2 linked regions of the Caenorhabditis elegans genome follow. The protein of the gene in region 1 interacts with the protein of each later gene in a pairwise test. Each region holds a gene or a part of one and is shown on either strand. Other genes may lie near its edges.

Region 1 (4,110 bases):
TGACCAGTTATTTTCTTATACGTAATTTGCACCTGAATCAGCAGAAAAAGATTTTTTAAACATTTGAAAAATGCAAAATATTATAGGTACGTAGTGTTTAAAAAAATTAACTTCTGTCTGCTGCGTCTTGAACAACTTTTTCGAAATTGAAAATATTTCTGCATATAAAAAGTATTTTATTTAACCATTGAAATGTCACTAAAAAAATTCCGATATAAAAATTTTGATACTCAACTTTTAAAATTAATTGTGCATTATTTTTGAAATTTAATTGACTAAATCAAGTTATCATCGAATGAAAAATAGTTAGTATGTTCAAAATTGATTGCCTAAAAATAATATGGAGCAGTTGACACACAAATTAAACAAAACTTACAAACTTCTGACAGTTTCCATTAATAGAAACTTTCGGGTCCAATAATATTTCGTTTGAAACAAATAGCAATAAAATGTGTTAAACACTTGCCGACATTACATACATCTTCAGAAATATTCTCTTTGCATCATTAGAAATTCAAGTGGTGAGAAATTGGAATTGGATGGGCCCACCACAAAGCAAATTGGTTGCCACAAAAAGAGCAAATCATCAAAAAAGAGAAATACATCAAAAAAGACAACAAAAACGAAAATAACTGCCATTTCAAAAGCCGTATCAGTGGCTGAGAAGAGCAGACAGCACACAGCTGTTTGTGGGCTCACCGGCTCAATGAAAATCTCATTTCAAATGATCACAGAGGAAAATGCTCAATTTGTTTGTTTTTATGGTTTTATTTAAAGAAAAAACAAGAAATCCATAATATATTTTTAATGAAAGTGTAGAACGTTTGAACAAAAAATCCTTCCAAAATTGTTTTTTTTAACTGAACTCTAAAAAATACACGAAACAAAAAGTTTATTTGTTGTCCGTGTTCTACTTTTTTTCATTGTTATCTACCAAAACAGTGGAAAACAAAAACAAAACTGACACTTTCCCTAAAGACGAAGACGGAGAAAAAAAAAAGAATTGTGAGTTTTCTCTTCTTTTTTGACCATTAAAATAAATGAGAATTTGAAATTGAGTTTGAAAGGGAAAAGGACGGAGTGACTTGACTTTTTGGAAGAAACGCCAAAAAAATATGCAAGAATGCAAGTACAAAATAGGTGGCACATAATAGGATTATTCATAGCATTCGCACTGGAAACTAGAAGTCATAACATCAGAGAAAAGTCGGAGGTTTCAAAGTGAAACTAATCGCGTTTTCTTATAATATTTGCAAAAGTGCTTCTCTTATTGCAAACTTTTCCTATTTACTGTTTGGAGAAAAGCAATGCTAAGCAAATAAGTTAAGTTTGTACTCAAAATAGATATGTTGTTCTAATACTAGCGCACCTATTTGAGGCACAAGAAGTATTTCAAAATATTGAATAAGTAAATACAAGAAAAAAGCGATAATTTCTCAGTATCGATAATAAACGCACATTCAAAGTTTTGGACACTAGACTACATATGATTTCGGTATTTTTTTTTTCTCGGTCAGATAAAAAACAACAGTCTTTCTTAGTTCTTAAGCAGGATTTTCATTGAACCTATGCGTGGAATAATTTGGAAGAAAAAAAACTGTTTGAACCCCTGTTTCAGCTTACAGAATGTCAAGCAAAGTTTGCAATTTACCATTCTTTTTCGTTTTTTTTTTCTTTCCTTCCACTTTTGACACTATTTCTCCATCTATACACATGCCTCCTTCCTTTCGTCGTTACTCCCCTTTCTTTCATTGCCGTTCTATGTTGACGTCACACTGTGCACTTGTGCGTCGTTGTGTTTGCGTACGACGACTCACCCCTCGATTTACGCGGGGACACATCTGTACTTTACTTATTCTTGGATTCAGATATTTTTTTTTTGAATTTCACATTTGTAATTGAAAGTTTTTCAGTTTATCCATGGAGGCTCTTTACCAAAGCACCAATTTTCTTCTACAGAAGGTTCAACATGACCTTGGACGACTAGAAGGCACTCAAAACGAACAAGATGCGCAAGTTGTTGTACAGTGCATATATGGTGATGTCATGTGAGCTGACTTAAAATATTTTTTTGAATATTAAAATAATTTTTTAGAACCCTGAAGGAAAACTGCCAGACATTAGATAATTACGTTTCTCGAGAACCTCCAGCGAGGCGGCAAGCGGTGAGAAAATTTGGAAGAAATAAGACAAAAAATCAATAATTCAAAAATTCAGGCCCGAATGAGAGTTGATCAGTTACGCGCCGACGTCCACAGAGTTGATATGGCCGTTTCGGCAGTACACACGAGAATGACACAAAGATGGAGAGCTGCTACTGAACGAGATGAGCTTCTTAGGACGCGGTAAGTATTTTTTTTCTCAAATTATCAAACGAAACAAAGACGATTAAATTGCTGCAAGAAAATATGGACGGTATAAAAACGCTGGTGTATACAAGTTTGTTAAAATTATTTGCAAATTTATACATTTGATCAAAGGATTTTGCTGTAACGAAGTTTTGTCAATCCTGCGAAAGAAAACAAAATAGTTCTCTCACTTCTGATTTGTGTAACAGATTTAGTAGATTGAATGTAAATTAAAGTTGATCAAAAATTTGAAACATTGAATGTATGTAACTAGAAATTCAGATATCGGCCAAACGATACAGCGCTTTCAATTGGAGACCACGAGCTTCTTCTCAATGATCGCCTGCAATCTTCCCACACTCATGTGAGTTTTCAGATAACGTTTATGGTACTTACCACTTAAAATTAAATTTTTGTCTTCCGTTAATTGAAAAAAATGAATTTAAAAGCAATAATTGCAGCTTGACGATCTGATAAGTCAAGGATCTGCTGTACTCGAAAACTTGAAATCCCAGCATTTAAATTTACGCGGCGTTGGGAGAAAAATGCATGAAATTGGCCAAGCTGTAAGTTACATTTCTAATTTCAACTTTTAAAAACATATTTTGAGTTGGGTCTCTCTAACTCGACACTTCAAGTCATCGATCGGCGTGTTCGTGAGGATTGGATCCTATTTGTGATTGGATGCATTGTCTGCTGCATCTTCATGTACGCATTTTACCGATTCTGGCGTGGATGAGGAAGAATCAGTTGAATGCGAAACTATCAACCATCTCGTCATACATACCAAAAATGCCACGTATTTTGTGATTTCAATAGCATATCTATTGCTGGCCAGCGACAACTTTTTTTTGTCATTATTTATTTTGTTTCATTTCCTGCATATCTTTATTTATTTATTTGTTCATATACAAATTTCCTGCCATTTTCTGTTGACTCTATATTCCTTTCAGTTTGGAATAATATATGATGATTTTTGTATGGGAAATGGGAAGTTTTGTTAATTTTTCAAAAAGCCTTTTGAATGTAAAAATCTGTCTCATTAAACTTGTCATAGCAAAACAACAAGACAAAATTCAGAGCAGAAAAGTAGATTTTAACAGAAAAAAGGGGTTTTTTCAAAGTTTGAAAACTAAATTCCAAAAGCTTCTATAACCGCAAAGAAAAAGTGCATTTTCAGTCAAACATTTTGAAGTACATTTTGAAATTGATTTGAACTGACAATTCATATGCAAAGTTAGTGGATTTTCAAAACTTTAAAAATTAATATTCCGCTTTAAATTAACTGTTTTGAAAATACCCATAGCGATTTTGTTGCAAATTTTGTGTTCATTCAGATTTTTAAACACATCCTACTGGAATATTGTTGGTACATTCTAAAAGAGCTTAAAATTTACTACAAAGTTTCTGAAAGACATTTCAAAAAAAGTTACTTTGAAGAGATTTATGAATTTTCAAAGTTTGGAAAATCCATCTGTTTTTGTCTATAAATGGTAGTTTTCATTGAATAATGAAATACGCACTAAAAGATAGGGCTGAAAATGTACTATTTCTGTAACTACGTGAAGCTTCTTGTACCTACTGAAATATTGTTAGTAAATTCTAAAAGAGCTTAAAATTTACTACAAAGTTTCTGAAAGACATTTCAAAAAAAGTTACTTTGAACAGATTTATGAATTTTTAAAGTTACGAAAATTCATCTATTTTTGACTATAAATGGTAGTTTTCATTAAATAATAAAATACGCACTAAATGGTAGGGC
Region 2 (5,484 bases), 1.9 Mb from region 1:
TTTTCTTCAGATTGTTCAGGAATACCAACGTGCTGTAGTTTTCCGTTTGGGACGTCTTGTTCCTGACGTCAAAGGTCCCGGAATCTTCTTCATCATACCTTGTATTGATACTTTCTTGAATATCGATCTGCGTGTGGCATCGTACAATGTCCCTTCACAAGAGGTATGTTGCGCAACACACCTGCTCACTGTGATATAATCTTTCTCTCTTCAGATTCTGTCTCGCGATTCGGTTACCGTTTCTGTTGACGCAGTTGTCTACTTCAAGGTGTTTGACCCAATCACTTCGGTAAACTAAACAGCTGGTACGGTTCAATCTAATTTGGAATTTTTAGGTCGTCGGAGTTGGCAATGCGACCGACTCTACCAAACTTTTGGCTCAAACCACCCTCCGTACAATTCTCGGTACCCATACCCTTTCAGAAATTCTATCCGACCGTGAGAAAATCTCCGCCGACATGAAAATCTCGCTCGATGAAGCTACAGAGCCATGGGGAATCAAGGTTGAACGTGTCGAGCTTCGCGATGTCCGTCTTCCATCTCAAATGCAACGTGCTATGGCTGCTGAAGCCGAGGCTACTCGTGATGCTGGAGCAAAGGTGAGCCGACATGATGAGCATAGCAAAATGCGGGGGACCAATAATTATTAATTTCGATTGCAATTAATTTCAGATTATCGCTGCCGAAGGAGAATTAAGAGCATCTGCCGCTCTTGCTGAAGCCGCCACCATCATTTCAAAAAGCGAGGGAGCCATGCAGCTTCGATATCTGCACACACTCAATGCTATCAGGTAATGGAAGCGCACTATCAACTTTTAACTAACAAAATAAAATTTCAGTTCCGAGAAAACCAGCACAATCATCTTCCCGTTCCCAATGGAGATTCTCGGAGGAATCAGCAAGGTTGGTTCAGGAGGCACATCTCAGAACTTTCCAGTTCAAGAAATGATGAATGCCGCCCTTCAATCCATTCAACGTCAGGATACAGTTCCAGCCACCGCATCTTCCTCAGGAAGCCGACTCTGATTCCAAGCAACGCAAAATGAGCTACAGTTTCGTCAAAAAACAAAACAAGGATCAACTCGAAGCATATTGATAATCTCTTTCCTGTTTGAAGTATTTTTTTTTAACTATTAAACTGTATTATTCAACTGTATAACACTTAATATTTATACTCGATTTCCACCTCATTCACTTCCAAATTGCACATATCGGTTGTCAAGGCATATCTTTGAGAGGTTGTCTGAAAGACTTCCGATTTTGCTCCAAATTTTTTCAGTCATTTTTCTCATCATAATAATAATATATATATGATTCTCCACGTTCCATTGTATTTTTCAAGTGTATTTTTCCAAGAAAATGAAGGAAGCCATATAGTTTAGAAATTTGTCTAATTTTTTGTAAAACGGGAAATATTTGAATCGAAGGATTCAAAAAGTTTTGAGAAATTTTTTATTTCGAGCCTAATGCGCTGAAAACTAGGTTTTCACCAATTATTATGAAAGTCTTTGATCAGAAAAATTCATATTTTCACTTATTTTTTCACTAAACAAAAATCCAAATTTCAATATTGTTGGGGTTTGAAGATTTAATAGTGTTTTAGATTTCTCGTAGCGAATTGTCAAAAATATACCAAATAGATAAATTAAATTCTCTATAAAAATTCAAAAATCCACACATTCTCATTTTTCCAATTGTTCTGCATAACCTCCTTGGCGAGCATTTTCCTCGCCTTCCTCGCACACAAGCACACCATTATTCTAAACACCGCGCGGGGTGTAAAAAGCGGAGCATCGTTTAACGACGTGTTACCAATTGTTTTTTCTTTGGTTTATCGCTATTTTTTATTTATTAACGTTAGTTATTCATCAAAATTTTTATTGAAACAATTTCAGCACAAATAATGCCTCGAACACGTGTCAACTTGCAAAAATCCGAGGCAAATGACCGTAGTTTCACAATATCGTCGCTAGAATTTTGTTTATCGCAATTGCGAAAAGCAGATCCGAATTTGGTGAAAAAAGCAATTGCTTCTGGTGACGGACTAACCGAGTCGAAAAGTATGTCTCTAAATGTCAACATTTGAAAAATCAATAATTCAGACGACGTCAGCACGCGGCTATCGGAGGCACATCGTTATTCTGTTCAACAGTGTCTTGATAACTCTGAGCAGTTGGCTCAACTCCATAATCAACTTGTGCATTGTGATAATGTTTTTGAAGTAAGTATATTGTAAAAATTGCCAATATATAAATCAGTCGACTATTTAATTAAACTTTTTAGCGCTTGCAAGCAACATTGTACAGTTTTCAAGACAATCTAGGATCAATTGGGCAGGATATGAAAAATTTGCAGCTACAGTCGCATCATATTCATCAAGTAAATTAATTTTCCAATTTCAACGTACTATAATCTTCTCAGGAACTGGAAAACCGGCAAAAAGTTAGAGTCGAGCTGAGCCAATTTGTAGACGATATTGCTGTTTCTCAAACGATGATGAAAACTATCAACGACACTGATGCAAATGACAGGGGTTTTTTGGAAGCGCTCCACGAGTTACACCACAAAATAACCTTAATTTTGCAAAGGGGAAATGGAGATGCGGTAGCGGTAAACGACACTATGCCGATTTTGGAAGGACTAAAGCTTAAGGTTGGGTGTTTTTTTTTTTACAAAAGTTTACATTTCAAAAATGTTTTTTTTCAGGCGGTTGTAAAAGTGAGGGAATGGTTGCTTCAGAAAATGTTCCAATTCCGTAAACCTCTGTCCAACTACCAAGTTTTTCAACACCAGCTTCTCAAATGCCGATTTTTCTACGAATTCCTGTTGCACCATGACTTGATCTCTGCCAAGGAACTTCAAGACGAGTACATTGACACCATCAGCAAGATGTTCTTCACGTATTTCAAAGCATACGCCACACGCCTGTTCAAACTTGCGGTAGGTTGAGACACATTTTTCAAGTATATTCACCAGAGTAATTATTTAAGATGAAAGACGTGGCCACCAAAGAAGACGCTTTGGGAAGTATTGATTTTGCAAAACCCGCTGGATTAGGCGCAATTTTCTCGTCGAAACAACACGTTGTTCGGAATAAGGCAACCGTTTTTTCGATTGGGCAACGACATCAAATTCTCTCTGACGACTTTTTAGGAGCCTTGATTGTTCCCCACGCAGCTACGCAGAACCATCAATCGGTATACCTTACAATAGAACTGGTAGGGACCAAATTAAATTATATTTTCAGTATCAATTTGAAGCACTATTTCGTTCTATTCAACTGGCATTTGTCGATCACTACAGCCATGAGTACCTCTTTATTACCGACTTTTTCCTTGTCAGCAATGATGAAGCCATTGAACTGCATAACAAGGTATGTTACGAGGACCTGGAAAGACCTAATATCTATTACGTAGTAATGTTACATTTACAATAGTTGTTTGCCTTTTCACTACCGGAAAAAAGCTTATAATTGCTTTCAGGCTATGGCTCGAGCAATGTCAGTTGTGCTCAAAAGCTGCGAGGAGCAAATCGCCCTTAGTTGGGACGCCATCAGTCTTCATCTGTGCATTTGTCTATGTGACAAGTTTACCGAAGTGCTCGCCGAGAGAGAGGTACCAGAAGTTAGCGATTATTGGAATACTGTCACAAGCTTCCTTTGGACCCGCCTCAATTTGGTCATGTCTCAACACTACGAAAGTGTCAAATCTGTTGATTTGAAGAAGTTGATGCATAGCGGTTCACTTGATGCAAGACCGCATTTCGTAAGTTTTTGATTGTTTTTTATAATCAAAAAAATTCAGATGTTACAGATAGTCCGACGGTACGCCGAACTGACAAGTGCACATTTGATGATAGCAAAAGCAAGTGGAAAGGAAATGGGTGCAAAGATGGAAGCTGTCTTGGAGAACAGTGAAGACTCTATTGAACAACTATTGACTCGAATGTCAGCTATGCAGCAAACTCAGAAAAATAAGCACGTCTTTCTGATTAACAATTACGATCTTATTCTTTCGATTATCGATAACGAGGAAAGCAAGCATACAAAGATTTATGCAATTGTCCATGAGCTTGAACAAAAAAGTATTGATGATTTTGTTGAAGAGATGCTAGAGCCACATATTGGGTACATGATTAAATTTGTCAACGAGTGTGAATCTCTGATTGTTCAAGGTCATACACAACTCTTAGTTCGATATAATGGCAAGTTGTCATATATAATTTTCTATTCTCTAATATTTTAATTTCAGACAAAGTTGGAACGGTGGTAGCAAACTTCAATGCAAAGTGGAGACCTGCAGTGGACAGTATTAATTCAGAATGCATACAACTTTTCACTAACTTCAGCCTGGGAACCACCATTTTACAGGTTAAAATTTATTTCCTAGAGCCGAATTTCAGTTTTAACTAGATGATTTCAGACAATCTTCACAAAGTACGTTCAGTATATCAATAGATTCACAAAGATTCTGTCCCATGACGTATTTGCTAAAAATCCCGTGTGTTCCCAGTTAGTCAACGTTCATCAAGTGATGCTCGAAATCAAACGGTTCAAACCAGCATATTAAGAAAAATATTGCCAATGTTATTTTATTTTCCCGTGTAGACTTTGTAAATTAAATAATTTATTGATTCCCACTTACTTGAGTATTTTTTTATATATATTTTTACCCACTGGCAGCTTTATGCATGCAAAAAATGTTGAATAAAATGTTTATATATTTATTTTATTTAAATAACCATTACATAGTATTTGACAAAAATCACATAATATCGAGAACACAGATTTGGACCTGACTGGAAGGTGGGAATTGAGACAAAAATACATTAATTGAAGTGATTAGGCAAATGCAATTCCTTCGTATTTGTATGGACCATGAAGAAGATATTCGTCAAGAATAACATTACCATGAATGTCGAAAACACTTGCATAACTTGCTACTGGTTTTCCATCCTGGAATACAATTTTATAAACCGAGCATTGAGATTAACGGATTTTGTTTTTAAAATTGTGTAGATAAAACCTGTTACTTACCTTTTCCTCCGACTTGATGGCAACGATGAGCTGGTGATGAGTGTTTGGCACAAATTGGAAAGCAGCAAACCCTCTGGATTTGTTATTCTCCGATCCTACTCGCACAACCTCAAAATCAGTCAACTCTTCATTTCCAATCACAAGAACGTTTGTTCCGCGGTTCTCGTCCTCCGCCTCAGAATACTTCTCATTTGACATTCTACGTGGAAGGAAGAACCATTTTCTGTGAATTGCAGACCATTGAACAGCTTCGTGAATCATGTATCCGGGATATTCGATCCCAGCAGCTCTACGAACGCGGATATATACATCCTTCCAGTTTTCGTGATGAACGGCTCCGTGAGCAGAGACATGCTTCACCCACATTGGGTGATCGTTCACATAAACTCCGTCAGTGGTCGTCCATTCTTTTCCCAATCCTCCAACAATCAATTCGGTATCCTTAACAG

The links.
Region 2: the proteins of memb-1 (region 1) and vps-52 interact in a two-hybrid assay, tested with the Caenorhabditis elegans proteins (one study listed by BioGRID).

The regions. Positions count from the first base shown.
Region 1 is NC_003284.9:9,439,375-9,443,484, reverse strand, and holds memb-1 (Golgi SNAP receptor complex member 2 homolog memb-1), read left to right. Parts: upstream 1-1,913; 5' UTR 1,914-1,920; coding exon 1,921-2,048; intron 2,049-2,095; coding exon 2,096-2,165; intron 2,166-2,217; coding exon 2,218-2,345; intron 2,346-2,630; coding exon 2,631-2,712; intron 2,713-2,809; coding exon 2,810-2,914; intron 2,915-2,958; coding exon 2,959-3,087; 3' UTR 3,088-3,406; downstream 3,407-4,110. UniProt on the Caenorhabditis elegans protein: Involved in transport of proteins from the cis/medial-Golgi to the trans-Golgi network.
Region 2 is NC_003284.9:7,563,428-7,568,911, forward strand, and holds vps-52 (Vacuolar protein sorting-associated protein 52 homolog), read left to right. Parts: upstream 1-1,895; 5' UTR 1,896-1,903; coding exon 1,904-2,060; intron 2,061-2,102; coding exon 2,103-2,221; intron 2,222-2,283; coding exon 2,284-2,379; intron 2,380-2,421; coding exon 2,422-2,652; intron 2,653-2,706; coding exon 2,707-2,940; intron 2,941-2,990; coding exon 2,991-3,197; intron 3,198-3,247; coding exon 3,248-3,373; intron 3,374-3,482; coding exon 3,483-3,764; intron 3,765-3,812; coding exon 3,813-4,203; intron 4,204-4,250; coding exon 4,251-4,369; intron 4,370-4,421; coding exon 4,422-4,568; 3' UTR 4,569-4,718; downstream 4,719-5,484. Other genes in the region: sto-1 (Stomatin-1), read left to right, coding at 11-163, 215-289, 336-599, 673-791, 840-1,026; Apyrase apy-1, read right to left, coding at 4,841-4,954, 5,036-5,484. UniProt on the Caenorhabditis elegans protein: Acts as a component of the GARP complex that is involved in retrograde transport from early and late endosomes to the trans-Golgi network (TGN). The GARP complex facilitates tethering as well as SNARE complex assembly at the Golgi.